Linked DNA regions of Oryctolagus cuniculus. The main gene of each other region encodes a partner of the protein of the gene in region 4 in a complex. Links are inferred from orthologs where the notes say so. Each region holds a gene or a part of one and is shown on either strand. Other genes may lie near its edges.

The links.
Region 1: CUL3 (region 4) and KBTBD8 share a complex: the UniProt entries of both Homo sapiens proteins name them as parts of the BCR(KBTBD8) E3 ubiquitin ligase complex. The link is inferred for Oryctolagus cuniculus from reciprocal best matches to the Homo sapiens genes CUL3 and KBTBD8.
Region 2: CUL3 (region 4) and KLHL25 share a complex: the UniProt entries of both Homo sapiens proteins name them as parts of the BCR(KLHL25) E3 ubiquitin ligase complex. The link is inferred for Oryctolagus cuniculus from reciprocal best matches to the Homo sapiens genes CUL3 and KLHL25.
Region 3: CUL3 (region 4) and KBTBD2 share a complex: the UniProt entries of both Homo sapiens proteins name them as parts of the BCR(KBTBD2) E3 ubiquitin ligase complex. The link is inferred for Oryctolagus cuniculus from reciprocal best matches to the Homo sapiens genes CUL3 and KBTBD2.
Region 5: CUL3 (region 4) and KBTBD4 share a complex: the UniProt entries of both Homo sapiens proteins name them as parts of the BCR(KBTBD4) E3 ubiquitin ligase complex. The link is inferred for Oryctolagus cuniculus from reciprocal best matches to the Homo sapiens genes CUL3 and KBTBD4.
Region 6: the proteins of CUL3 (region 4) and KLHL22 are in contact, whole or in part, in a cryo-EM structure (PDB 8K8T), measured with the Homo sapiens proteins. The link is inferred for Oryctolagus cuniculus from reciprocal best matches to the Homo sapiens genes CUL3 and KLHL22. Residues at the interface, in NP_003581.1 of Homo sapiens: Thr14, Arg17, Ile18, Arg19, Ala20, Phe21, Pro22, Met23, Met25, Asn49, Ser50, Gly51, Leu52, Ser53, Phe54, Glu55, Tyr58, Tyr62, Leu66, Met118, Asp121, Ile122, Met124, Tyr125, Arg128, Val129, Gln133; in NP_116164.2 of Homo sapiens: Asp73, Tyr74, Arg76, Gly77, Met78, Gly81, Gly82, Leu83, Lys84, Glu85, Leu92, Ile93, His94, Leu117, Gln121, Val125, Cys128, Gln129, Gln131, Pro133, Trp146, Glu150, Asn151, Asp154, Val155, Arg157, Leu161, Phe162, Asp163, Ser165.
Region 7: CUL3 (region 4) and KLHL21 share a complex: the UniProt entries of both Homo sapiens proteins name them as parts of the BCR(KLHL21) E3 ubiquitin ligase complex. The link is inferred for Oryctolagus cuniculus from reciprocal best matches to the Homo sapiens genes CUL3 and KLHL21.

Annotation. Positions count from the first base shown.
Region 1 is NC_091441.1:82,545,751-82,549,941, forward strand, and holds the start of KBTBD8 (kelch repeat and BTB domain-containing protein 8), read right to left. Parts: upstream 2,801-4,191; 5' UTR 2,676-2,800; coding exon 2,660-2,675; intron 2,047-2,659; coding exon 1,836-2,046; intron 1-1,835. UniProt on the Homo sapiens protein: Substrate-specific adapter of a BCR (BTB-CUL3-RBX1) E3 ubiquitin ligase complex that acts as a regulator of neural crest specification.
Region 2 is NC_091443.1:1,880,618-1,884,557, reverse strand, and holds the start of KLHL25 (kelch-like protein 25), read right to left. Parts: upstream 2,801-3,940; 5' UTR 2,657-2,800; intron 2,421-2,656; exon of another isoform or gene 1,874-2,420; intron 1-1,873. UniProt on the Homo sapiens protein: Substrate-specific adapter of a BCR (BTB-CUL3-RBX1) E3 ubiquitin ligase complex involved in various processes, such as translation homeostasis and lipid synthesis.
Region 3 is NC_091447.1:23,651,136-23,654,635, forward strand, and holds part of KBTBD2 (kelch repeat and BTB domain-containing protein 2), read right to left. Parts: 5' UTR 3,169-3,500; coding exon 2,999-3,168; intron 1-2,998. UniProt on the Homo sapiens protein: Substrate-specific adapter of a BCR (BTB-CUL3-RBX1) E3 ubiquitin ligase complex that acts as a regulator of the insulin signaling pathway, modulating insulin sensitivity by limiting PIK3R1/p85alpha abundance in adipocytes.
Region 4 is NC_091434.1:14,728,538-14,732,037, reverse strand, and holds part of CUL3 (cullin-3), read right to left. Parts: intron 2,639-3,500; coding exon 2,514-2,638; intron 2,203-2,513; coding exon 2,106-2,202; intron 1,383-2,105; coding exon 1,248-1,382; intron 1-1,247. UniProt on the Homo sapiens protein: Core component of multiple cullin-RING-based BCR (BTB-CUL3-RBX1) E3 ubiquitin-protein ligase complexes which mediate the ubiquitination and subsequent proteasomal degradation of target proteins.
Region 5 is NC_091432.1:18,411,037-18,415,265, reverse strand, and holds the start of KBTBD4 (kelch repeat and BTB domain-containing protein 4), read right to left. Parts: upstream 2,801-4,229; 5' UTR 2,664-2,800; coding exon 2,645-2,663; exon of another isoform or gene 2,565-2,644; intron 2,495-2,564; exon of another isoform or gene 2,399-2,494; intron 2,308-2,398; exon of another isoform or gene 2,197-2,307; coding exon of another isoform or gene 2,181-2,196; intron 1,825-2,180; exon of another isoform or gene 1,763-1,824; coding exon 1,145-1,762; intron 1-1,144. Other genes in the region: NDUFS3 (NADH dehydrogenase [ubiquinone] iron-sulfur protein 3, mitochondrial), read left to right, coding at 2,811-2,874, 2,986-3,051, 4,025-4,122. UniProt on the Homo sapiens protein: Substrate-specific adapter of a BCR (BTB-CUL3-RBX1) E3 ubiquitin ligase complex which targets CoREST corepressor complex components RCOR1, KDM1A/LSD1 and HDAC2 for proteasomal degradation.
Region 6 is NC_091452.1:29,973,368-29,977,307, reverse strand, and holds the start of KLHL22 (kelch-like protein 22), read right to left. Parts: upstream 2,801-3,940; 5' UTR 2,660-2,800; intron 2,645-2,659; exon of another isoform or gene 2,500-2,644; intron 2,164-2,499; exon of another isoform or gene 1,748-2,163; intron 1,252-1,747; exon of another isoform or gene 654-1,251; intron 1-653. UniProt on the Homo sapiens protein: Substrate-specific adapter of a BCR (BTB-CUL3-RBX1) E3 ubiquitin ligase complex required for chromosome alignment and localization of PLK1 at kinetochores.
Region 7 is NC_091438.1:160,937,298-160,941,495, reverse strand, and holds the start of KLHL21 (kelch-like protein 21), read right to left. Parts: upstream 2,801-4,198; 5' UTR 2,744-2,800; coding exon 1,723-2,743; intron 1-1,722. UniProt on the Homo sapiens protein: Substrate-specific adapter of a BCR (BTB-CUL3-RBX1) E3 ubiquitin-protein ligase complex required for efficient chromosome alignment and cytokinesis.

The DNA.
Region 1 (4,191 bases), on a different chromosome or scaffold from region 4:
ATCCCACATAAGGAGAAACAGTGGTGGCAAAAAACTTCTGTACAGTAATCTCTAGCAAGAGCTAAGAACTTAATCCTCACATTTTCTAGCCAAATATCTTCATTTGAATGTACATATCTTATGATTAAAGTTTTCTATTTTTTTAACTTCTTGGAAATTAGGAAAATCTATTGTAGCATATTTCTTCTAAAGTACTTTGTCTTCAAAACTAATTTTAATTCAATTGATTTAAATGATACAATCTAGAGTATAAAATTTCAGTAAGATACAAACATTTTCACTTTGAAGTTTTGTTTACTTTTTTGCTTTCAATTCTAATATATAAATAACATTTCTTGAAATGCAACTGTAAAAAGGACCCATTCTACCCACTCAAGTTCCTCAGGAGTCCCACAGTGACTAACAAGCCTGATTCTAGAATCAAATCCAGCCTCTGCCATTCAACAGTCAAATGATTCAGATAGGTCAGGTAACCTCACTGGCCCTCAGTTTACTGATCTGTAAAATGGGACTAACAATTGTACAGAGCTGAGATTATAAAAATTACTGAAGGCACACAAAAGCTTGGTAAATAGTACCTGCGGCCCACGTAACCCCTACTCTCAAGGAGGGTGTTCAAAAAGATCATGGAAAATGCACAATAGCTAACAAGTGCATTTCAAAATCACTAAAATAAAGTTACCTTTTAATTGCATTTTCCCACGAACTTTTTGAAGTATACACATATTTAAAACATAAATGACTTAACTCTATCTAATACATAGCCAGGGTAACTGAACGTTACCAGTAGTCTCCATTACCAGGACAAACTTTGTAGCTTGCGTATACCTAAGTTTTACTTTTTTTCCTCTGGCTCACTGTCTTGTAATGATGAATACTTAGTAGTCCAATGACCTAAGCTGGCAAGTCTAAATGGTTATATCAGAAGTATCAGTCGGAAGTAACTATATTTAACCCAGTATTCTGAGAAAGAGGAACCAGAAACTGCAACCTGGAACATTACAGTATGTGCCCAATAAAAGGTAAGTACCTTCAAAAGGAAAAAGCACGTTCAGAGTGGCTGAGAAGATGATCTTACTGTTATTAAGGTACCACTTTTGAAAACTAAAAGGCCTAAAAAAGTGAGCATTTGAAACAAAAGGAGTAAAACTCAGGTAGGACACTGCCTTTTTCACTACTTTCATCTTAAAGTATGAAGTTACTTTTCAAACCTAAAAGCTTTAAATTTTACTTTTCAAAGATTAATATAAATGAAAACCCAGTATAAAAACACATCTGGAAATATTTCATTCATTGTTATTCCATTCCATTTAGCCCCATAGTATTAAAACAATCTGTTCAACAGGAGTTGGTTTTCAAACAAACAGGCTACCGTGTTTTAAACTCTAATATGCATCATGATTAACTTTTTGGAACAAATTTCTTCATCAGCGCTGCCCAATAAAACGTTTAACAAAACTGTCCCATAATACTTTAAGTGGAACTGTTGTCTATTCCTCTTCCCAATATAGCATCTACTAACACCATGGGGCTACCCAGTATTTGAAATGTGTTTACCGTCCACAGGGAGTTAATTTTTTAATTTAATTTAAAATAATTTAAGTGTAAATGGTTCTGTGAGGCCAGGGGCTGCCACAGACTTTCTGCTCATTTACATCAACACAGGTTCGATAACTTACAAACCGACTGGTTGAACTCTAGAAGAATCCCTCAAGTCAAAAACACGGGTTTGCAAGGCCTGCTGCCTGTTCTCGTTGGCTGCTTTCCAAGGGGACGGCACTGAGGGGCACGGGGGCCTGGGGCCGAAGTCATGGAAGTTTCTACGGTCATCATACCTGAAGTAAGGGCTGATCGCCGCAAGGACGTTCCTATGACAGGAAAATGTTTTCCCGTGATCCACTTCCACTATAATGTCTGTCAACTGTCCTTCATCGTACATGGTTTTGAGTTGCTTAAGAATACTGCACGCATGGAAGGGGTCCATGGCATCGCTGGCTGTGTCTGAAGACGGAATCCCATTCGGTGTAGGGGAAGGCTTACTTAAATCTAGGAGAGAAATCATACAACCAAAAGAAGTTCGAGCCAATGACGGCGTCGGCGTGTGCTGCCTTGGCTGCTTGCGCCCCCTCCTACAAAAATTCGCCCACGGATACACACTCCCCGCCGCAGGAGACCGCGAGGGAGGGATCTGGGAGCCAGAGCGCAGCCAGCGAGCCGCCCAGCGGAGTTCAAAGGCCCGCCGGCTCCTGCCGGAGCCCGGCGAGCCCGCAGCCCCGTGCTCGCGGAGGGAACGCGCCGGCGGCAGCAGAAGCAGCAGCAGCGGCGAGGCGCCTGCGGCGACGCCGCCGACAGCCGGCGGCAGGAGCCTCACGAGCGAATTTCGAAGGATGGCGGCCGCCGGTCCCCCCCCCCCTCCCCCGGCCGCCTCCCGAACAGGTCGGAGCAACGGCGGGTACCCAGCCTCCCCATCCCGGTCCGCTCGGACCGCCCACTGCCCACCACGCCATTCATCCTCCCCTCCCGAGAGCCCCCGCCACTTCTCCATCCTCCTCTCCGGCTCCTCGTTGTTACCACCTCAACTCATACCTTGTGCCTAGCTTCGGCTCGCCTCCCCCCCATAAACACCCTCTTCACACCGCGCTAGCCACACGCGACCCACCTGCCGACGCGGCCATTTCTCGATGGGGCCCTGGCTCTAGCTATTTAAAGAGGAAATGTCATTTCGCTTCTCGGGCTCCCGGGTTCCGGCTCTTCTAAGCTTCGCCTAGCCAATGGGGTGGCCTAAGCCTCAGGCTCCGCCCCCCAGTCTACTAATTCCTGGCGTGGATTGGCCACGTTGCGGAAGCTTGCACGTCGGGAAATGTAGTTTTATTGCCCTCGCTCCCGCGTGGTGCGGGTCGGGCGGAGGCCCAAGCCGAGGATTTCTATTGGCTGGTTCGGGCGGAGGTGGGGAGCTGGGAGCCCGCCAGCCTGTGGCCATGGGACGCGCAGTGTCTGCCGGGAGAGGTAGTCTTCTGACTGGGGAGAGCTGTCATTCTGTGGGGCTGAGGTAGGGAAAGATTTTCGAGTGCGAATTTTCCCATTTTAGGCCTATCTCCTGCCTTTCCTCCCCCCGCCCCCTTTTAAGCCTTTATCTTCATTCATTAAACTTCCGCCGAGGACAGGTTTCCGCTTTAGAGGCGAGCTCTACGTGAGGGCTGTGAAACCAGAAAAATGTGGAAATGGGCAGGAGGGCTGTGGTCCAAAAATGCGAAGGAAATCTGACACCCCACCCTGAAGAAAAACATCCGGCGGCCCGAAGGCAGGCCGCCTGGAAGGGGTCACCTGTGACACCCAGCTGAAATAGTGTCGCCTTGGCCCTGTGCTCCGTGACCAGATTAGCCTGGTGTGGCTACAAGGGCTGCTCACGACCTTGATTTAACGCGTGCCTGGCTTCTTGTGCACTCCGGGCATCACCTGTTCCACTTTTAGGAGCACCTAAACACGATAGAGGGATTACAGGAGGTCTTCCTGGTCTTGCTCCCGGGGCCATGGTGAGGTTAGGATACTAAGCCGCCTGGAATTTCCTTGGAAGAAATATTGGAGACCATGCTGAGCCTGGACCCGGGGACCCTCACTGATACCCTGGCTCTTTATTTACTCCTTGTGCGACCTTAGATAAGACTCTTTAACTCTTGAGCACTTAAATCCTTTATCTGTGACGTGTGTATCGTAATCTATATTGGACCGTACACTACAAGTTTTGAGAAAGAAAGCAGAAATTCTTTTGTGGGCATGTTTTGGTTTATTCAAATGTTGTGTGTTTCTGGCATCTCACAGGGTGCTTGGCACATTATAGATGCTTAATGTTTTTCAAGATAAGTGTCAGGTACAAAGGAGCTAACTGTGGGAATGCTAAACCTTGGAGGTGTAAGGAAGTCTTATCAGGGAATGGGATGGGCTTAATAGAGATAGAGTTAGTGCAGGTGCATGACTTTCTAACAATGAAAAGATCAAACAGTTGAACCTCTTGATAAACGATCTTGGAATTTAAGTTGTGGTTTGAGATAAAGAGAGAAAATGTTGAAAAACAATTCAGTCTGTTACCTGAGTATGAGAAAATTAGAGTTCAAAGAAATACAAACCCATGCAAATTAACAAAAAGCTCATTGGTTCCCTGAGACGGGTTTATGGACATCCGTATGAGTTAGT
Region 2 (3,940 bases), on a different chromosome or scaffold from region 4:
GCCCCTTCCCAGGGTCTAGCCCAGTGCCCGGCGCCCACGGGTCGAGGCACCTGCCGCCCTGGGCCTCAGGGGCCACCTGGGGCAGCAGCACCAGGAGTCTGGACGCTTCAGGCAACGGCCGTGGCTTCCTAGAAGAGCGAACGCTCCATCCGCGGCCAGACCGGCCAGCCGGCTGCTGTCCCCGCAGGCGCTCGTCCTGAGGTCGCAGCGAGAAAGCTCCTCTTGTCGTCATTAGGAAAGTAATTCCCTCAGCCCGGACCGATCTGCGGTCAGCCTCCCCGGGGGCGCGAGAGGCACAGAGGAAGCGCCACGCGGGGCACCGCCCCGGCCCAGGGGGTGAGGGCCGCCCAACTGGTCCTGCGGGTGAGGCGAGGTGCGGCGGGCACTCAGCGCCCCTCACTCTCCGCCTCCCTGTCCAGCTCTTCCAGGAGGCAGCCCCGGCTCTGCGCCCGGGCTCCCGGGGGCCAGGCCTCACGGTCTGCTCTGGGGGGCGCCCGGGCTCCCGGGGGCCAGGCCTCACGGTCTGCTCTGGGGGGCGCCCGGGCTCCCGGGGGCCAGGCCTCACCGTCTGCTCTGGGGGGCGCCCGGGCTCCCGGGGGCCAGGCCTCATGGTCTGCTCTGGGGGGCGCCCGGGCTCCCGGGGGCCAGGCCTCACCGTCTGCTCTGGGGGGCGCCCGGGCTCCCGGGGGCCAGGCCTCACCGTCTGCTCTGGGGGGCGCCCGGGCTCCCGGGGGCCAGGCCTCACCGTCTGCTCTGGGGGAGCCTCGGCGCTCCCACCGCCCCTGCCCAGGTCCCAGCACAGGAGCAGCCCTGGGCAAGTGAGTCACCCGCATGCCGCCTCCTCCACGCCCTCGCCCGCAGCCCTGGGCCCCAGCTCTGGGCAGGCACCCAGGAAGGCTGAGGGACGAGCGCCTGTCCCCCTGGAGTCACCCCCAGGAGAAAGACCCCACACCCAGGGAAGCCAGGGTATGGAAAGGGGAGGGTACGGCAGAGCTGGTGCTGCACCCAAACCCCGCCCCCGGGGAATGCCAGCTGGGCCGGCAGGCACCGGGGCCCCACACGCTGAACATCGGGGCTTGGAAGAAGTCAACAGCAGCATACAAAGGGGCATCCACCCATTGCACAGAACAGCAAACCGAGGCCAGGGAGCCCAGGAGCCTGCAGAGACGCATGCACGAGCCTGGCCAGGGCGGCACGTTGCCTGTGTGTGCAGAAGAGACGGCGCTCGTCCCAGGGACACACAGCTGCCACCTCCACACACCGGCCAGGGCGGGACTGTGGTCACCACTGGGGACCTTGCGTCCCGGGTCTGGCTCGAGTCCCAGCTACTCCACTGCCCACGCAGCCTCCTGCTGATGAGCGACTCGGGGATGGGGGTGGTCAGCAGGTGGAGCTCTGGGACTTGGGTCCTCGCCACCCACGGAGAAGACACAAATGGGGGCTGGGCTCCTGGCTGCGGCCGGGTTCGCTCAATGTCTACTCCTGTCTCTTTCAAGTTAAATGAAAACATTAAAAATCTAACAAGAGGATGATGAGCCACAGTACCCACCCTTTACCCGGCCACCAGCACCAAGACGGGGTGGGGGGGTTGTTGACAGCAAGAAGGCCACAGGGAAGGGAGGGGCCGGCGAGGCTCCCTGTGGGGCCTGCATGCCCACAGCCCTGGATGGCCACCGGGCTCCAGAGGGTGGGGGCTGACCGGAGACACAAGGCAGCAGGCAGCCCCTTCCCCAACCCCCGGGGAGCAGAGCGCAGGCCCAGCGGCCACACCACGCTCAGCTTTGCAGGCTTCCGTCCCGCCGGGGACAGGACAGGTGCGGGCAGGTGAGCCCCCTCCCCGGCCCCCGCGCCCGTGCCAGCTGAGCAACTCCACCTGGACAGGTGCCCCTCACTGACCGCCTCATTTGCCTCTGCCAGCCCCTCCGGCGGGCCTCTGGGGTCAGGGGGTGGGCTCTCCCGGGACCCCAGGAGGAGGCTAGCCTGGAGCCCGCGCTGGGGCTGCGCTCCGCTGAGCCGAGGGTCTTCTCTTCGCCCCTGCGCCCCCGCACGGGCACGGCCGACCGGTCCCCGGCAGCACCGCCTCGGCCTCTGCAGCCAGGGCGCCCCGGCTGCACCCCACCCCGGGGGCTCCGCGCGCTGCTGGCTCGGACGCCCTGGCCGAGGGGTCCTTCCTTCCGTTCAGCTGCGGGACCCCCTGACGAGCGGCGAGCCCTCCGTCCGCGGGGCTGGGGCCGCCGGGTCCGCACACCGCCTCTGCCCCCAGCCAGGGGCCCGGTGCCGAGTCCGCGGCCGGCCCGAAGGCGACTTCCCGCCGAAACCCGGCAGGCCCGGCGTCCGGTCCCCGCTCCCGCGGCCGGGCCCGGACACAGGTCCCGACGGCAGCGGCTGGCGAGGCCCCGCCGGGGCGGGCGCGGTGCGGGGGTGCGGGCAGACCCAGGGCGCGGCGGGCGGGCCCCGACCCCGGCCCACCCGCGGAGACGCGCCCCGACCCCGGCCCGCCCGCCGCGGAGCGCCACGCTCGCCCCACAAAGAACCGCGGCGCGCGCCGCCTGGCTGACCGGTGCGGGTCCCGCGGGCCGCCGGTGGACGCCCGGCTCCTGCGCGCCGCCCGGCCCCAGGGAGGAACACGCCCCTGGGCGGCGGCCCCGGCACTCACCGAGACCCCGGCCCGCTCCGCTCCGCCGGACGAACCGCCGCGGGACCGCCGAGACGCCGCCGGCAGCTACTTTCTCCGGCCGGCCCGCCCCGCCTCCTGGCCCAAAGCGCCGCAGCCAATCAGAGGCCGCGCCTCTGTGACGGACGGGCGGCCGAGCCCGTGGCAGCCGAGGCGAGGGGCAGGGCGTGCGAGCCGCGCCGGTTCCGCGGGGGGCGGGGCGTGGAAGGACTGGGACCGGATTCTTAAAGGGCCAGGCTCCCGCGGCCCCGGTGCCGGACGCCGACCGCCTCGACATTCTAGAGACTTCGATGGACTGATGAGCTCTGCCACCGCGGCGTCGGGGCGGGATCGTCCGCAGAGTCCCGTGGGGTCACGCGCGTCTGTGACGAGGCGTTCCCACAGGGCTCAGCCCAGGGCTTCCCGGCCGGCCCGGCCTGCTGTGCGGGGTGCGAGCCCCGGTGACTATGGGGTGTGTGGGGGGGGGCGGCTTGTGTGTGAGTGTGTGTGTGTGAGGGGGTGTCGGCGTGTGTGTGTGTGAGGGTGTGTGTGGGGCTTGTATGTGTGCAACCTGTGTGATAAGTATGTGTGTGACGTGTACGTATATGTGTGTGACGAGGGTGTGGGTATATGTGTGACCTGTGTGTGACCCTGTGTGATGTGGGGTGTGTATATGTGTGATATGTGTGTGACCTGTGTTTGACCTGTACGTGTGTTTATGACCTGTGTGTGACCATATGTGTGTGACCTATGTGCGATGTGTGTGACTTTGTGTGACATGTGATGTGTGTATATGTGTGTATGTGTGACGTGGACGTGTGTTTATGACCTGTGTGTGACCGTATGTGTGTGTGACTGTGTGTGATATGTGTGTATGTGTGATGTGGACGTGTGTTTATGACCTGTGTGTGACCGTATGTGTGTGTGATGTGTGTGACGTGTGTGTATGTGTGTATGTGTGACCTGTATGTGTGTTTATGACCTGTGTGACCGTATGTGTGTGTGACTGTGTGTGATGTGTGTGTATGTGTGTATGTGTGATGTGGACGTGTGTTTATGACCTGTGTGTGACCATATGTGTGACGTGGACGTGTATGACGCGAGGGGAGGCACCGGGACCTGTGACTCCTGCAGCGCAGGGTGACCTGGGTACCGGGCAGAGTCGCCCTGCGGGCGGCGGCGTCTCTCTGCTCCCACGTGGAGCGAGGTGGGCACAGGTGAGGCCAGAGGCCAGGCTGCAGGGGCCAGCGCCCGAGGTCCGCTTCGCGCCCGGTCCTGCAGGCGGCC
Region 3 (3,500 bases), on a different chromosome or scaffold from region 4:
AAGAAAAAGAAACCTCCCACTAACCAAGATAAAAAAAATTACCAAAAAAAAAAAAAAAAAAAAGGTTCACGGAAATTGAAGAAAGACCTGGCTAGTGATTCTAAAATGAAACAAACAAAAAAAACAAAAAAGGCAACCTTTAAAGGACTGTGTTGTTTGTAAGACTGTAATACTGATTAAAGACAAATTTCCTGGAGGGGCCAGCGCGGTGGCTCACTTGGTTAATCCTCCGCCTGCGGCACTGGCATCCCATATGGCGCCGGGTTCTAGACCCGGTTGCTCCTCTTTCAGTCCAGCTCTCTGCTGTGGCTGGGGAAGGCAGTGGAGGATGGCCCAGGTGCTTGGGCCCCTGCACCTGCATGGGAGACTGGGAAGAGGCACCCGGCTCCTGGCTTCCAATCAGCACACCTCCAGCTGTAGCGGCCATTTGGGGAGTGAACCAACGGAAGGAAGACCTTTCTCTCTGTCTCTCTCACTGTCTCTAACTCTACCTGTCAAATAAAAAAAAATTTCCTAGAATACTAATTACAACTCAATTAAAGATAAATAATCTCATGGCTAGAGAATAGCCCATGTGTTATTTTCTGGTAAAGACGATGACCACACAGAAAATTTAAGTATTATACACAGAATTTCTGCATAGATTTAAAAGTTAGACCAGGTGACTACTAAAGTTACTACCAATAAAGATTCTACTCTGTGATTACAAATGTCAGGTGGAAAACCCACAACTAAGGTTTAAAGCTCTTTCCAACAATGGAGAGTCAAATAATAATTAATGGCCATTAAAAAAGGAGAGTACAGAGCCAGTGCTGTGGTGCCAGCATCCCCTATGGACCCCGTTCAAGTCCCAGCTGCTCCACTTCTGATCTGGCTCTCTGCTGTGGCTTGGGGAAGCAGTACGAGATGGCCCAACTTCTTGGGCCCCTGGACCGGCATGGGAGACCTGGAGGAAGCTCCTGGCTCCTGGCTCTGGATTTTTTTTTTTTTTTTTTTTTTTTTTTGCTTATTTTGGGAAGTGAACCAGTGGAATGGAAGACCCTCCCACCCCACTCTACCCCTGTAACTCTTTCAAATAAAATAATTCTGTTTTTTATTTTTTGCCAGGCAGAGTTAGACAGTGAGAGAGAGAGACAGAGAGAGAAAAAAAGGTCTTTCTTCCGATATTCACTCCCCTAATGGCCGCTACAGCCGGCACTGCGCCAATCCGAAGCCAGGAGCCGGATGCTTCCTCCTGGTCTCCCATGCGGGTGCAGGGCCCATCCTCCACTGCCTTGGGCCACAGCAGAGAGCTGGACTGGAAGAGGAGCTAACGGGACAGAATTCGGCGCCCCAGACAGGACTAGAACCCGGGGTGCCGGTGCCACAGGTGAAGGATTAGCCAAGTAAGCCACGGCGCCAGCCATCAAATAAAATAATTCTAAAAAACCAAACAAAAGGAGCGCATAGGGGCAAGCATTTGGCCCAGAGGTTAAGATACCACTTGGGACACCCACATCCCATATCTGAAGGCCTGTGTTCAAGTCCTGGCTCCACTACCTATTCTAACTTCCAACTAATGCACACCCATGAGCAACAGGCTCAATCACTTGGGTAACTTGGGAGACCTGGACTGAGTTACCAGCTCTTTACTTCAGCCTAGCCAACACTACTATTGCAGGCATTTGGAAAGTGAACCAGCAGAGATAGGAGGTCTATGTCTGTCTGTCTCTGCCTTTCAAATTAAAAAATGCTTAAATGGGGAAAAGGAGGAGAGCTAATGAGCCCAAGTATTAACTGAACCTGTAAACTTGAATTTCTAACACCATTTGCTAAAATAATGAATCTGAAAACAAATCAAAAACAAAAAACCAGTATCACACCATTTAGGAGGCTTTTAAATAATAAAGATTCTGATTTCATAATCCAGACCCCCTGAATAAAAATTTCTGAATTTGAAATCCAATACTCTCTGTAAAAGCACTAAAATTCTAATAACCAACCAGGTTTTAGAACTACTATTTGCAAATAGGCTAAGCTTCCCAACACAGACAAGAAAATCAGAATCTGAAATTGCATCAACAATCCACACTTTAACCTGAAAACAAAAACTGTAAGCACTTGGGCTCTAGCTTCTGCTATCACCATGGGATGCAGTTACACTGAAGAGTATGAAGCTTCTGTATCTTCATGTGGTCAGATTAAATCGGTCCTGTGTATAACTGCCAGTAAATAACAGCAGAAATGAACTCACTGCCAATCTTTACTTACTGGGGGGCGGGGAATATTCCTAGTAAAAATATACTAGTCTACATTTAATTCATCTTATTCATCCTATCCTTTTCAAATATTAAGTAGTAAAAATCAACCTAAGGCACAGAACCAATCGATGTCTTTTGTCTTGGCTTCTACTTCTCATGAAATTTAAAGATACAAAAGGTCACCAAAGTATAAAGTTTATTTGTGACTAACAAATAACTGAAGCAACTTCTATTTTCTAAGGAACAGAAAACACCTAGTAAGGCTAAATGGTTATCTCAAATGGTAACAATAATCACAAGTGAGAAATAGAATTAGATTTTTGTAAAAGAAAGAAAAGTTTTAACATGTCTCAACAGCACCAATTATCCTCCAAAAATTACTGAGCCTATTTTAACACCTCAGTTTTTAAACAAGGACCAATATTTTCTAATTATAATATTTTTTAAAAATCTTGAGTAAATTACCCTGTTTTTCTTTCAAAGGAACAATATTCTGTAATTTTCTGCTCCCTCAAACTTAAAACTTTGCCTTAACGTCAACCAATTTCTATATTTAAACTTCTGTAAAAACTTCTTTACTCTGTTCCGAACTTACACATGCAAGGCAATGACTGGGCAAGCAGTATATCATCTGAGGTAGAAAATCTAAAACATTATAGGATTTTTAAAAAATGTAAAACAGCATTTAAAAGAATCCCTATTAAAACAAGCTAACATTCTATATGTATAATTTACAAACTAATAAAGAAAGTACTTACCTGAAATAAGAGCTACATGTTGCAAGAACCATCTTATGACAAGGGAATTCAGTGCCCTCAACAACTAACACTATATCAGTAAACAACTGCTGTTCATAAAACAGCTTCAACTGTTCCAGCAAGGACACAGCATATTCAGTATTGATCTGCCTCTCGTCTTGAGTGGACATGACTGTATTCCATTAATAGCTCTCGAAACAGATTAGAAAAGTCAATCTTACTGATGGAAGGTCAAGTGAATACTTCTGAAATAAAGAAGCAAGTCTGTTTGCTGTTATCTGTAACATTCAGAGCCAAGACGGACTTTCACTAAGGAATATCTTGTGACAGCCTTAGAATCACTTCTAGGTCATCCTCTGTTGGTCAGGTTCTTCAGGGTTTTTCAACACGAAAACTGGCTGCAGACATCCTGCTCAAAACTGCAACTGTGCAGCTCATGAGCTAAAGAAAAAAGTTCACGAGGTAGGTTCTGTGGCAACATCCTATGTTTAGTGGATCCTCT
Region 4 (3,500 bases):
AACTGTTGAAATCTTTACTTAATATATGCTAAACTGATCTTCTGTATATAAAGAGAATTGAAAATGAATATTCATGTGAATGGAAGAGGGGAAGGAGAGGGAAAGGGGAGGGTTGCGGGTGGGAGGGAAGTTATGGGGTGGGGGGAAGCCATTGTAATCCATAAGCTGTACTTTGGAAATTTATATTCATTAAATCAAAGTTAAAAAGATACAAAGAAACCTGGGGGAAATAATTTTTTTTTTAAAAGATTTATTTATTGGGGCTGGTGCCATGGTGCACCAGGCTAATCCTCTGCCTACGGCACTGGCATCCCATATGGGCATTGGTTCTAGTCTCGGATGCTCCTCTTCCAGTCCAGCTCTCTGCTGTGGCCTGGGATAGCAGAAGATGGCCCAAGTGCTTGGGCCCCTGCATCCACTTGGGAGACTGGGAAGAAGCACCTGGCTCCCGGCTTCGGCTCGGGCCAGCTCTGGCCGTTGCGGCCATTTGGGGAGTGAACCAACGGAAAGAAGACCTTTCTGTCTCTCTGTCTGTAACTCTGTCAAATAAATAAATAAAATCTTTAAAAAAATATTTATTTATTGTTTTTTGAAAGGTAAAGTGACAAAGAGAAAGGAGAAACAAAAAAAGAAAGAGATCTTCCAGCTGTTGATTTATGCCCTAAGCCACCGCAAGGGCCAGGGCTGGGACACGCTGAAGCAAGGAGCCTAAAATGCAATGCTGGTCTCCCACATGGGTGCCAGAGGCCCAAGTGTATGTAGGACATCATCCATCCACTGCTGGACCGGAAGTAAAGCAGCCAGGACTGGAAATGGCACTCCAACATGGGATTCTGGTGTCAAAGGCAGCAGCTTAACATACTGCATCACATTGCTGGCTTTTTTATTTTCTGTTTTTTTAAAGATTTACTTATTTATTTGAATAGTAAAGATGGGAGGGGAATAGAAGAGAGGGGAGACAAAGAGATTGGGAGTTAATATTCTTGATTACATTGTACACATGTTTAAAGCTCATCAAATCATGTGCTTTCAGGGGCTATGTTCTATTACATGAAAATTATGCATCAAAGAATTGCTTAAAAAAATAAACCAACAAAAAGAAACATGACCCAAGAAACGTATGGCCCAGTTTTATGCAATTTTCTATAAATATATTCTGAAAAACTATCTTAGGGTTACTCAAATAAGACTCCCACAATGAGAGAAAGAAAACAACTGGTTAAAATGTATATAAGCATAATCCATACCTCAAATGTGTATTTTTCTCTATTATTAAAAAGCATTAATATGGTCATCTGGAAAGTAGAGACTTGTAAAATGTGCTTCCGTGTATTAGAGCCAGTTACTTGTGCACCTCCAACACCAACTTCAGATCCATCTTCCTGTTTGAATTTTTTTACAAAAAATATAAACAAGATATAATTATCTCCTGATAATTTTAATGTATGTTTCAGAAAATTCCTGTCATTTCTATCCCTTAACACTACTTATTCCTGCATCAAAAGAAAATCCTATACATACAAAAACAAATCTTTATTTAGGATTGTCCTTTCTCCTTGCATTGTGAATATTTTAATGTATCTGAGAAAATAATTGAGCACCAATTCCCTATATTTAAATTTGAAATTATTTTAACAGTACTCACCACGATGACAGTGATAGAACACACAAAGTACTTTAATTAAGAAGGCATATCATTAATGCATCACTGAATTTTTTAATGACATGAATGCTTACGTATTTCAAAAATTTCAAGTACTAATTTTCTGGTTTGTGGCTGATCAGATATAAGGATTGCATACTTTCAGATCAACTTCATTTTCCTATTTTATGCAATACTGTCTCAAGTTTAATTTTAAAAATATAATGTATAATTACACTAGCATTATTTATTCCTTAAGGAAGGCTACTAGCATAGTCTTCATATTTTCAAATAAAGTTAACAACTGAGGTAAAAAAGTAAAATATCCAAGCCCGTATTTTAACATTTTTAATATTTGAAACAGATAGAAAATATGAATTAAAAATGTACCTGAGTCAACAGAAATCATCATAAGCTCTAAGGACAAATTTTCAGTAACTTAGAACATTCAAACCAAAGTTACCTTTTTAACTGGTCCATAAAAAGTGGCATTGAGATCTGCAGAACCCATATGATGCTGGAGTGTGAGCTGTCGACCACTGTGTTTGGCTAAGTAGAACCTTAAGCAAACCAAACCAGGTTTTAGAGAAGCAGAGAATTTATATACAATTTGTATTTGCAATCACACAATTTATACATGTGAAATTACAAACTGCAGGATAATAACTCTTAAATATAAATTTAATGAGAACCTTAAAGGAAACCCGAAGATTTAATAAATTCAATTCCAATTTTTACAAAAGAGGAAACAGAAAAGGTAATGGGGGAGTTGAGACTTCTGCAACTTTGCTAGATATTAAAAAGATAAAGGTAGTACACTTATTTTTGGACAATTATTTAGACTGAAAATGCACATATGATTTAGGTTTACCTTCTGAATATCTCAAAAGCATGTCTTGGTGCTGGTGGGATGTTGCACTTTGGTGTAGCCGACTGAGTGGGCCAATAGCCTGTTGTGAGCACCCGGACTGTGAGATCAACACCACCTAAGGATACCTATGTAAATCAGAAAGACAATTCCCACAAATTAATTAGGATCTGTTACCCATTCCATAGATATGGCACCAGATTTATCAAAGTAGTTGTATCAAAATATATAAATGAATGTCCAACATCTGGTATATAAAACAGACTTTCATAGAGGTTCTATTTGTGTATTGTTTTCCCAATTTTAGCTGTCATGGTAAATACTTTCATTATTGCTCAGCATATTAACTTAAAAACAAGGGAGAGTTCTTAGCATGTGAACACAGTCTTAATGGTATCATTGAGAAGTGCAAAGTTTGGATCCTTCAAGTTTTTTTTTTTTTCCCCAAGATGTCAACAGGTTATTTCAATATCATTTTAAAGAAAGTTATAACATCTTCCATCTCAGTTTTTACCATCTGAACAGATAAATGGGATGTTTCTAATATCCTACCCCAAATTCAATGACACTGAACAAAATTTTCATGTTTCAATAGGCAGCTCACATTCTAACAACCTCCATATAGGACCAACAAAAGGAAACATGAAACTGTAGATGCAGTGCTACAAAGCACATGCACTAGTGGTATAATGGATAACTGCTTCTACAAAATATATGCCTGCATCACTATCACAAATATTTTTTGTTTTGGGCTGGCAATGTGGCACAATGAGTTAAGCCTCAGCATGGAGTATCTGCATCCCATATGGGCGCCGGTTCAAGTCCCGGCTGCTCCACTTAAGTAATCGGGCCCCTGTACCCACAATGGAGATCCAGAAGAAGCTCCTGGCTCTTGGGTCTGGATTGGCCCAGCTCCAGCTGTTGCAGCCATTTGGGGAGTGAATCAGTGGATTGAAGACCTTTCTGTCTATCTCACCCCCTCTGTAACTT
Region 5 (4,229 bases), on a different chromosome or scaffold from region 4:
GGTTGGAAATACAGGTGGGATTCGAACCAGGTACTCCAAGATGAGATGTGGGCATCCCAGCAGCAGCTTAACCAGCAGCACAAGACCCACCCCTGCCCCATTTCTGAGCTCAGAATGATGATACAGTGGTGCCAGCACTGTGGTACAGTGGATTAAGCCACCACTTGTGACACTGGCTTCTCACATGAGCACTGGTTCGAGTCCTGGCTGCTCTACTTCCAAAGCAGCTCTCTGCTAATGCACCTGGGAAAGTAGCAGCAGATGGCCCGAGTACTTGGGCCCCTGCTACCTATATTAGAGAGCTGGGTGGAGTTCCAAGCTCCCTGGCTTTGGCCTGGCCCAGCCCTGGCTTTGCAAACATTTGGGGAGTGAACAAGCACATGGAAGGTCTTGCTGTCCTCTCTCTCTCCAACTCTGCCTTTCAAATAAATACATGTCGGTTTTGTTGTTTAATGATGACACGGTATGCTCCCATTTGCCAAGGAAGCAACCCATCAGGCTGCAGAGCTCACACTTAAAGCAGAGTTATATCTTACTTGTAGGGTATGATCGTTAACTAAAGTTGGTCTGTCACTAGTAAAGCTTTTTTTTTTTTTAAGATGTATTTATTTATTTGAAAGGCAGAGTGACAGAGAGGAAAAACAGAAAGAGAGCTTCCATCTACTGGTTCACTCCCCCAAACAGCTGCAACAGCCAAGTCGGAGCAAGGCCAATGCCAGGAGCCAGGAACTCCATCCTGGCCTCCCACATGGGTGGCAGAGACCCAAGTACATGGGCCGACTAGTAAAGTGTCTTACTTTAGATATCCTACCTCATCAGCTTACTGAACTAATGGGCCCATAGATCTATGTGCAATACAGGATAGATGAGAACAGTTGGTCACAGAAGAAATCAGCTCCTCACTACTGTTTGTGGGTCAAGTGCTGCTGCTTTTATTTTCCTGGCTTCCTCTTATATAAGGCACTCTGTCTGCAACAGCAGCTACCCTCAATCTCTGCTCAAGTCCTCCCAGGAGATATCTAAATTCCTACCAGGAATAATAATGTCAACTAATACCGAGAAGCTGCGGGGTTTCTTTTTCCTGAATTTAAACACACACTGAACACCACAGCCAAGAAGCTGGGTGGCCCTTGCCTACACTTACCAGAGATAATATCAGTGAGCAGATGGTGGGGCAAGTGGAGAAATTCGTCTGTGCTCTGCAGCTGGGCCAGGTGGGTCTTGGCACAGTGCTTGGCTGCAGTGTAGAGCTCGGGATCGCTGTGCCGGTCGGCCAGCCACATCACCTGAAGGCAGTTTCCCACTTGTACCGTGCGGGCCAAGAACCGAGAACATTCCTCAAAGAGAGACGTCAGCTGATACATGTCTGACACCTCATAGATTTCCTGCAGCTCATCAGCTCGAAGTTTCACAGTCCCGTGGTAGATATAATCAACCAGGAGCTGGAACACAGACTCGCTGACATCCTGCAGCACGATCACCCGGTTGTGGGCCTCCTTCAGGTTGGAAGTAAACATAGACCGGAAGAAGCAGCTCTGAGCTGAAAGGACCAGCCGGTGGAGCTGAAACTCCCGGCCTTCCACGGAAATGGTGACATCAGCAAAGAGCTCCTCCTCCAGACACAGTTTCATGATGCCCTGAGCCACACGACCCGAGTGTGACCGGTCTTTGAAAGTGTAGTTCACAAAGTAGTTCTCATCCATGGACGCTCCGGGCTCCTCTGGTGATTCCATGGTAGCCAGCTTCTCTCTCTGCCAGCTGTCTGCAAAGCAATACCACCCCGGGTAACTTGGGGGAATTCACAGCCACAGTCTGTGAATCCAACTCTCCAAATGAGGCAGGGAGAAGGGAAAGGTGAGGGCAAAGTGGGTCCACACTGGCCTCAGTCCTGGCCCTGCGGATGATGCCCCTGACCCTCTCCTGCATCCAAAGCCAGGTTCTCTCTCCTGCGAAGGCATCCCTCCCCCAGTGAAATCAACCAAAGCTCCAACTCTGGGGGCTTCCTTGAGAAAATACGTAATATTCCTTTCATAATGTTAACAAAAGACAGGATTTAGGACCACACATAAAAGCTGGTGACCTTAAAAGCCTTACTAAGCAACCAACTCGAGCATAAAACTAGGGATCCTCGGGCAGCAGAACTACACAAAACAAGATCTACGTCCTTGTGGCCAAGTCACCTCTTGCCCTATGCATGGGGCCCAGACCCTCCAGTTTGAGGCTTGGCCCGGGACAGCCGTCAGCCCCACTCCTGCTGTTCTGAGCTTCTCCCCCACCCACTTCCCGGCCTGCCCTAATGACTTCCCAAGGCTCCGTCCCGGAACTCGAGACAGAGCCCAGCCGCCCCCAGCCCGGGGCACTAGGAGGTCCATCACCCAGTGCAGGGTCCCCACTCCACCTGGTGTCGCCAGGGAAACGGTCGCCAGGGAAACGGTTCTTCCCCCTCAGTCCCGCCTGCCCTCGTCAAAAGCTTAGGCTGGAGAGCGGGGGAGGGGTGTGGAACGTAGAACCCAGAACGCCCGCTCCTTCCCTCCCTTCACCCCCCAGGTCTTCGGCGTCCTCACCTTCTCTCCAGCCTCTGTCACACTGAGCTAAGGCTACGTCCACCTCACGGCTTTCCCACCTGTCCGTCGCGTTTTCTCACCTGCCTTCCCTCCTTTCATCCCGGTGCCCGGAATCCGGAACCCCTGCTTCCGGCCTCGAGTCCGCCCGGAAGAAGATCTGCTGCACACTTCCGCTTCCGGTCCGTGCCCTTGGGGCTCCGTGTCCTGCGAACCTTCCCTGGGCTAGTTGGTGGACATCCGGGCAACATGGCGGCAGTGGCGGCTAGGGGCTGGTGGCGCGGTCTCGTGAGGGCCGCCACGCTGGCCAGGGGTGAGCAGGGGGCAATCGGCTGAGGCCGGGTTTAAGAGGAGGGGCGCGCCCGGCGCGCTGAGCTCCTCACGCCTCACCCCGCGCGTCTGTGCCTTTTATCTGCCTGTGCAGGGACCGGGCGACCCTCGGTGCTGTTGCTGCCGGTGAGGAAGGAGAGCGCCGCGGCCGACACGCGCCGTGAGTATGTGCGGGCAGCGCTCTTCTCCGTCCCGCCGACGGGGACTGCTCACCGGGGTCCTTGCCTAGGGTGCCCTTCACCGCGTGCCCCTGGCGGATGCCTTCCTGTCCTTGGAAACCTGACTGCAGAAGCCAGCCGCGTCCGTGCTCTTAGACCCTTCTGTTACTGCCTGATTGTCCTTTGGCCACCTCCGTGACCCTGTTTCTCTGACTGAACTGCCAGCTCTTATGAAAGAGCAGGAAACCTAACTTCTGGGTCTGAGCCGTGGGATGCTAGCAGCTCCCGGTGTTTCCTCTGTGTCAGAGCTCCTCACTCGGCTTTTTAGTGAATGATCTTCTGTAGTCTTCATGTCATTTTTAGGATGTAGCTAGTAACTCCCCACACTGCAGACCCGGAGAGTGAAATTGCCCGGGTCACAGGCCTAGTGAGTGACAGAGCGGGCCCACCCAGCACTCTGCAGCTTGTCAGTGATTTAGGTCATTGCAGGGAGATCCTGTGTTGCAGTCAACATGATAAGCAGGCTGGGAGCTGGCAGACCTGGCATCCCCTCCTTTCTGGGTCTCCTTTGTCTCATACAAACAAAACAAACCCTGACCATTTCAAGAAATCATCTCTGAGGGCTCTTCAGCCCTAAAGTTCTTAGCTTGAGAACCTGGGATAAGGAGATACGGAAAAGCAAAAGTGTTGGTTCCTGTCCTCAGCTCCTGGTCTAGCAGGGGAGCTGAGATTGCGCCCTATGTCAGAGAGCTGTGGGCGTTCTGAAAGATGCCAACATCGCAGTTGCAGTGCTGAGTCCTGTGGACTGTGGTTGAGATGTTATTTCCCCACGTTCTCATGGCTTCCAGTCCCACCTTTCTCGAGGGTCTCCAGGGATCTCTGCTGGGACATGACGCCCCTTAGAAGCCCGAGAGACTGTGGAAGGCCGGCTGCGGCTCCCTCCGTTCCTTTGTTGACTGTCTCTTTTCTTTCCAGCCACTGTCAGACCACGGAATGACGTGGCCCACAAGCAACTCTCAGCTTTCGGGGAATACGTGGCTGAAATCCTGCCCAAGTATGTCCAGCACGTTCAGGTAATGCTGCTGTTGTGTGGGTCGGAGTACGGAAAAGCAGCAGCCTCGGTTCAAAGAACCAAAGCTCCCCAGACTTGGGCTGCTTTCTTGGCAGTAACTGGGTGACG
Region 6 (3,940 bases), on a different chromosome or scaffold from region 4:
CCCGCCTGTGGCTGCCTTGGCAGAGCCAAACCAAATGCTTTTGCTGGCCGAATGTGGCCTGGGCTGGCTGGAAGTTCCCACCCCTGCGGTAGGTGCTTGAGGGGCTGTGAAGAAAAGCGAGCCGATTCCCTGCCATCATGGACCGACCACAGTGGCACAGAGTGCCAAAACATTGAAGACCCCCACAGAAGACACTCATCCACAGGGGAATAGGCCTACTGGGGTCCATGACTTCACAGAACACAGCAGTTAAAATGAGCAGCTGAGAACTGAAGCTTTAGCCGTGGAGTGGGAGAATCTCAAAGCTACGGAGAGAGAAAGCAGAAAATGCCAGGACAGGTACAAGACAACTTTGTTGACATGAAGTCCAAAAAAACAGCAAAACAATAATATTCAAGATCGCATGCAAGGAGGATATTATGGTATAAAACAGTACAAACACATTTATAGGAACAATAAATGTCAAATGCAGGGTCATGACTATCTCCAGAAAGAAAAAAAAAGTACATAAAACACTGGTAAGGATCTGCTACTCCTTATATTTGCCTGTCAATGTTATGTGTTTAGTAAGAAATCATCAAACATATTTTTAAGTCATAATACATCCATGACTCAAATTCAAGAGGCAGTAAAATGTCCGTTGTAAAACTTACAACTGTCCAGGCTCTGCCCCTCCAGATCCTCTCCCAGAGGAAGCTTCTAGAAGGCATCTATAAAGTCTCAGGCAACTGTTGTAAATCCCAACATCCCTCCCCTACTCCCTTCTTCTTTTCCAGATTTATTCATTTGTTAGAAAGGCAGAGTGATAAGGGCAGAGGGAGAGACAGAGATCTTGCATCCATTGGCTCATTCCCCAAGTGCGAGCTGCAGTAGGAGCTGCGCCAAGGACAAAGCCTGGCGCCAAGAACTCCATCTGGGTCTCCCGTGTGAGTGGGAGCACTGCCTCCCAGGTGCGCTAGCAGGAAGCTGGGTGGGAAGCACAGGACAGACAGGACTCAAACCAGGCACAGTTTAGCCAATGCCAGTTTAACCTGCTGAGCCACAGTGTCAGCCCCCTGTCCTGGTATTCACTAGCTTTTTCATGGAACTTCATATCCCTCCCACCATCCACTGTATAGATAAAGACGTTTTATTTAACCAGTCCTAGAGCGACATCTGGGTTTCCTCCAATTGTTTGCGACTGCAAGCAGTTGTAGGTTAAAAGCCCTTTAGCTGTGCCATCCCACGAAAAGTTTCTAGATAAAAGAAAGCCCCGCCTCGCCCCACCCCATCCCCAGCAGCAAAGCAGGCGAACCGGAGGGAGGCCAATGTCTACCTCACCCACTGTGTGCCTTTCTAATCTGTGCTGATTTGGATGAGAAACAAGCATTTCGGAGTGTAACTGCATTTCTGTAAGGGACACTAGTTCTACCAGGAGAGGATGAAGGGAACAAGGCATATCCTTTCCCACGCCTGCTTTTCGAAGATAAAGTAGAACGTTCTTAGCAACGCGTTCTTTGGCCCGCCGGAGTTACTCCATCCTGAAGCCCTGTCCGCGGATGAAGTGCCCCGCCCCCTCGGGGCCCTTAGCAGCCCGACTCTAACCGACGACGTAAGCAAGGTCTCCCCACTCCGTGCAGTTCAGATTCGGGGGAGGGGGGCCCAAAGAGAGCTTTACGTTCCTTCCAAGCAGGGACAAGCGGAATGTTAGGAACTCAGGCATGAGAGTCGACGGCATTGCAGAGAGAGCCCCTCACCCCAACAGTACCGTCCGTTAACGAAGGCGCCCCCACAAAGAGCAGTGGCTGCACCCCAATGCTTGGCGACACGAGGCAAGAAGTGCAACGCAGGCAAAGGAGACGAGGAAGTGGGTCCTAATTTCCGGGGAGGGGGTGGGGAGGTGGGGCAAAGGCTCCAAAGTGGCGCCGACTCGGACGCGCTCCGAAAAAGCGGACTTGGAGCGTGCGTCCCTGCGCGCCCAAGCCTGGGCCCCGCACGGAGAAGCCCGGGACAGAAGCTGATAGCGCCCCCCCACACGCCCACCCGGGTCGGGTCGGATCGGTTCGGCCCGCCCAGGATCGAAAATAGACCTTGGCGGCTGAGGCTTCCGGGCCGGGCGATTTTTGCACTTTGACAGCGCTATCTCCGGCTTCTTTGAAGAAGCCGGACGACCCGGCCAGGCTGGGCTGCCACGGTGGCGACCCCCGGCCCTGCGACCCTTGCCTTCCCCTCCCCTCCCCTCCCGGGAAGCTCTCAGGCCGAGGTCCGAGGTCACGCCTGGTGGCCGCGGCGGCCTGGCCACGACACACCCGCCTGTTGCAGGACCCGCCGGCGCCAGCGCCGAGGGTCGCCGCCGCCAAGGCCGCACTAGCATCGCCTTGCGGGTGACAGGCGCCGACCCCGGGGCCGAAGAGGCCGGTGGGCCCCGCATCCGCGCCGAGTCCCCCCCGCCCCGAGCCCCAGCCTCGGGGGTCCCTTTCGGGCCGCTCCCCCGCCGCCACGTCAGGGTCCCCGGCTCACCTCAGGCCGCCGCCCCCGCGCATCTGCGGCCCCGCGCCCGCCCCCCTGCACGCTCGCGCGCCTCGCTCAACCCGCGCCCCGCGCCCCGCGCGCCCGCCGCCGCTCGCGCTCCCCTCAGCCCGGCCCGCTCGGCCCGCCCGGTCCACGCCTCACAGCTGACCTGGAGCCGCCGCAAGCCGAGGCCGCACTCGCGGGAGGCGGGGGCGGGGGCGGGGCCAAGGCCGTCACGTGGTGCGCCGCGCAGGCGCAGGGCGCGCCGGCGGGGCAGGGGCACCGGCGGGGTTGGGGAGCAGGGAGCGTGGTGCCCCCGCCGGGGGCGGGCGGAAGGGTGTAGGGGCGCTGCGGCTCGGGGCCGCCCCTCCCAGCGTGGGCAGCTCGGGTGCCGGGCTCAGCCCGCGGAGGGCGGCGACGGCCGGGGTGGCCGTGTGCGTCGCTGCACCTGGCACCTGCGCAGCGGAACGAGTGAATGAATGAATGAGTGAAGAAGTGAACGGACGTCCCAGGGCGAGGCTGCAAACTTCCTCCATTCGGCCCCTGCCGCCTCCTCTCCGTCACGCCCCCTCCTCGCCCCCTGCCTCCCCGAGGTCCCCCGCCCTCTGCTGCATGTCGGAGACAACTTCTGCACGCCTCCCTGGCCGACAGGGGTTCGTTTTCCTGTTTGCTGGAGTTAATCGAACTCCCAGTCCTGAAGCCTGGTTCCAGCCATCCGTGAGGAGGCGCTTAGCAGTCTGGTGTCTTAGCGCCTCCCAGAACCTCCAGGAAGGCTGCCTGGAGGAGGTGACAGATGGCTCCCTGTCCCACCTTCCCCCACTCAACGGAAGAGAACTTAGGGAAGCGAGGGAAGCTTTTGCAGGAAGGGCACGCGTTCAGCAAAGGCGTGGATTTGTGATCCAGCAGAGTGTCTGAGAGGTCATCAGGTTTTGTTTTTTTTTTTTTTTTTTAAGATTTATTTTATTGGGGCCAGCGCTGTGGCGCACTAGGTTAATCCTCCACCTGCGTGCCGCCAGCATCTCATGTGGGCGCCTGCTCCCCTTCCGATCCAGCTCTCTGTAGAAGATGGCCCAAGTCCTTGGGCCCCTGCACCCGCTTGGGAGACCCGGAAGAGGCTTCTGGCTCCTGGCTTCAGATCGGCGCAGCTCCGGCCTTTGCGGCCATCTGGGGAGTGAACCAGCGGATGGAAGACCTCTCTCTGTCTCTCCCTCTCACTGTCTGTAACTCTCCTCTCAAATAAATAAATAAATAAAATAAATCTTTAAAAAATATATTTATTTTGGCTGGCGCTGCAGCTCACTAGGCTAATCCTCCGCCTGCGAGGCCGGCACTCCGGGTTCTAGTCCTGGTCGGGGCGCTGGATTCTGTCCCGGTCGCCCCTCTTCCAGTCCATCTCTCTGCTGTGGCCCGGGAGTGCAGTGGAGGATGGCCCAAGTGCTTGGGCCCTGCA
Region 7 (4,198 bases), on a different chromosome or scaffold from region 4:
TGTGGGACAGCGGAGCCCCTGCCGGCCAGCTCCTGGGGCACAATCCCAAGTAAACAGACACAGCCTCCCTCCCTGACCAGGGCCTGGGGCCCCGGGGTCAGACCTGCTGGGGAGACACCAAGCGTCTGGGTGAGCACAGGCACTGCCCATCAAATTCTAGCCAAGCTTGTGCGCGGCAGAGGGAAGGAGGATTCGGAACACGGCAAGTGAGGCTGAGAGGGCTGTTCCGGTGCTGGTTCCCGATTTTGGTGCAGGTCACCCAGGCGTGTTTTGTTGGGCAAGCCGCCCAGGCATGTCTACGCTTCTGAATTCTATTCACATCAGTAAGAAGCTAAAAGAACCCCGAGGGGTGCTGGCTGTCACCCTCAATTAAACTGCACCTACTAAGAGCATGAGAACTCCTGGGGCTCACAGGGAGCCCGGGAACCCTTGGGGCTGCACCTCTCGGCCTGGGGCAGGTGCCACAGGGTGGGGCAGACATTCCGTGTCTCGTAGCTCAGAACAAAAAGGGAGAAGACAAGAGTTCTTGGAACGCTCCCCCCTCAGCGGGCCTCCTCACCCCCACGAAATCCCCTCCGGGCAGCTGCACGGAATGACCCAGCCACCTGCCGAAACCGCGGCTGCTCAGTCGTGACAATTTATGGAAGGGCGTGCAGAAGCAGGGGCCAGTCCGGCCAGTTTGGGGCGGGAGTTCCTTGCTCAAAGCCACTGGTCAGACTTCTGTGTGTGAGGGATCGAGTCCCAGACAAGCTTGCAGGCCAAGGAAGCTGCGGCCCACGGAGCTGAGGCTGTCCCTGGGCCCCTCCCGTCCCCCTTGTCACCTAACGAGAAGCCACAGTACATCTGGGAGGGAGCAAGCTTTGTCCAGAGTGTGCCAGGCTGGGCACAGCCACTGTGATAACCAGCCCCGCGCCTCCCTGCCTGATAAGAGCCACCAAGGCCTGGGTTCTTTCCTTATATAGCAGTCCCAGACACCGCCCCTCCTCACCCCTCCAAGGAGGTAGCCTCCTGTTTGAGCGCGAATTATCCTTAATGAAAAACGTGGGAGAAGCCCAGGGCTCGGGCAGGCTGGGGCCCGCCCACCATGACTCGGCAGTGTTTTGGGGTTTGGGCCAAGGAACTGGAAGAAAACCTCCCAACATGTGACCCTGTTTACAGTCCCAGGCCTCGCGGGGCCTAAGCACCACGTGACCCCCAACGCAGGGCTCAGGTGGGAGTCAGAGGGAGCCCTGTCACCCGGATGGGGGGAGTGAGTCAGGAGGTCCCAAGCCTTGTCACCCGGGCAGGGCACAGCGAGTGAGTCAGGAGATCCCCTGGCTCAGCGGGGAGGGGACGGCCCCGGCTGGGGGAGAACGTCTGGCTCCCGCCCGTCCCTGGGTTCCCGAGGGAAAAAGAGAAAGCACCCATTGTGTGGGTGAATGCCCCAGCCGCTTCCAAATGACCAAGGTTGGGGGGGGGGGCTCTTGCCAGGGAGGAGCTGGCTCAGCCAGGCAGGCCCGCGGCACAAGGCACACAGACCACAAGCAGCTACTTGTCTGTCCCCCCCACCCCCTTTCCACACACACACACACACACACACACACACAGGGCCCTTCTTCTGGTTTCCAAGTGTCACCAAGACACACCGCTGCCCAGGAGCGGCCCCTCCACTGCAGGTAGAGAGGCGGCCTCCCCTGGGGCCCGAGAACCCGAGCGCACCCCCCGCCAGCCCAGGCCACTCACCCGTCACGTAGATGTCGTTCCCCAGCGCCACGATGCTGTAGCCTCCGCCCAAGTGGTCGGGGAACTCGGCCAGGTAGCGCCACTGGCCCGTCTGCGGGTTGTAGCAGTCGACGGTGACCAGCTCGTCGCAGTCCTGGTCGCAGCCGCCCACGAGCACCAGGATCTCGGCGAGGCCGGTGGAGGGGCGCGGGCGCATGCGGGGGCAGGGCCCGCGGTCGTGGCGGTCGTAGCGCGCCGCCTGGAAGTCGCGCGCCTCGCGCAGCAGGCGCAGGCAGGGCGGGCAGCGCGCCACCAGCGGCTCGGCCTCGACGTGCGCCAGCAGGTAGAAGCGGCGCACGAAGGGCAGGCGCACGGCCTCGAGCAGCTGCGGCCAGTGCGCGGCGCGGCGCGGCGGGTCGGCGCGCACCCAGCGCAGCGCCAGCTGGTAGGCGGCCTCCTCCTTGGGCACGCACAGCCCGTCGTCCCGCAGGTAGCGCAGCAGGCGCGCCAGCGGCAGCCGCTCCAGCTGCTCGGCGCCCAGCTCGCCCACGTGGCGCAGGATGAAGCGCTGCGCCGCGCTGGCCAAGCCCGAGCAGCTGAAGGCCTCGGCGAAGTCCTGCATGTCCAGGCAGTTGGCCAGGTCGAGCTGCTGCTGCAGGAAGGCGCCGCACGCCTCCTTCACGGCCGGGAACTGCAGCAGGTCGGCGGCGCGCAGCAGCGGCTCGGCGTTGTCGCCGCTCACGGCCACGCGGCCCGTGTAGCTGAAGTCCAGCAGCAGCTGCAGCATGTCCGGCGGCACCCCGTGCAGGCGCACCCGCTCGGCGCGGCTTTCGCGCAGCTGCCCGGCGAACATGGCGCGGAAGTAGGGGCTGGCGGCCGCCAGCACGGCGCGGTGCGCCGGGAAGTCGCGGCCGCCCGCCGCCTCCAGGGTCACGTCCAGGAACTTGCGCTCGGCGCGGAGCTGGCTCAGGCCGCGCAGCAGGCTCAGGGCGTGCGCGGGGTCCGAGAAGGGCAGCACGGCCAGGGGCGCCGGCCGCTCCATGGCGCTGGCGCTGGCGCTGGCGGGGGGGGAGCCCGAGGACGCCGCGGCCGCCGGGCGCCGCCGCTCTAAATACGGCCGGGAAGGGCGGCCCGGCGGGGGCGGGGCGGGCGCGGCCAGCGCCGCCCACTTAACCCCGCCGGGCCCGGCGCCGCGCCCGCCCCCGACTCTGCCGGCTGAGTCACAGCTGTCCGCGGCCCCGCCGCCTCGCTCCGCCCTCCTGCCGGGGCTTCCCGCGGCTCCCGCCGGCGCCCGGGCCCGCGGGACGGCGGGTGGCCAGGGCGCACTCGGGCCTGCCCACGACCCGCCCAGACCCGGCCGCTCCGCGGAACCCGGGAGAGGCTAGCGGGGCCCCGAGGGCGAAGCCACCCCCTTTCGCGCCTGGGACAATGGCCTTTATTTATTGGTTGATTTGTTTCCTTAGTTCCGAGGGTTGCTGGTGAACCCCATCACGGGACTGACTTCGAACGAGATACATACATATATAATTTGTTTTTCTTCTACAATTCAGGACCGAAGCACGCACAAGCCTGAGGGGTGTCGGTGACGTTTCTTCTCGGCGCATCCATAAGCGACCCCGGGGCCGGACCCCAGACTCGCGCTCCGCGGTGGCGTTGCGGGGGTCGCCCAGTTACTGCCCAGCCGCGAGCCGGACCCTGCGGGCTCCGCAGCTGCCCTCCCAAGGAGTGGACCTGCCCCGGGGCGCCCCGGCCGGCGGCTCCGCGGGAGGCCCAGGAGCCGAGGCCCCCAGCGGGGACAGGGAAAGCCTGGGCTCCCCTCCTGTGTCGGGGGAGGACACTTGGAAGCCGCTTTGCTCAGGGTCAGAGCAGAGCAGTCCTGGGGTGTGCAAACTCGGGTGCTCGCCGCCCACGTGCGCCCCGGGAACCGGCTGTCAGTCCCCGCCCGCAGCGAGCCGGGCCCCGCACCGTGCCGCCGGGCTGCGTGTCGGGTCCGCCCGAGCGGACAAGCCTCCAGGTGCCCTGCGGGCTGCCCGTTGCCCATAGAAGGACTGCTCTCACGGCTGCCAGCGGCCGCGGCCCCGGCATTCCTGCCCCGGAGCCCGGCCAATCGCTCAGTTGCGTAGGCTTTGTGACGAGCGGGAGCCACCAGGAAGTGGACGTTCGCGGCGGGCCTGCAATGCCCCTGGGTCAGCCGTCCACCTGCACTCGCTCAGTGCCGCTTCCGGCCCGGAGCACACAGCAGCTTTTTTTTTTTTTTTTAATTTCTAGCAACAGGCGCTCATTTAAACATCTTCTGTGCATCTCACCGTGCAGCCATGAGGAATGCTGGAGAAATTTACGGAAAGGGAAGGGTGGGTGGGCCGTGCTATCGTGTTAACTGAAAAGTCAGATTACTGAGGGTATGAGCCAGTGGCCTGTGTGTTCATATGTCTAGAAAAAATAACATTTACTTTAGATGGCTAAGGTTTTTTTTTTTTTTTTTTTTTGCTTACCTGCA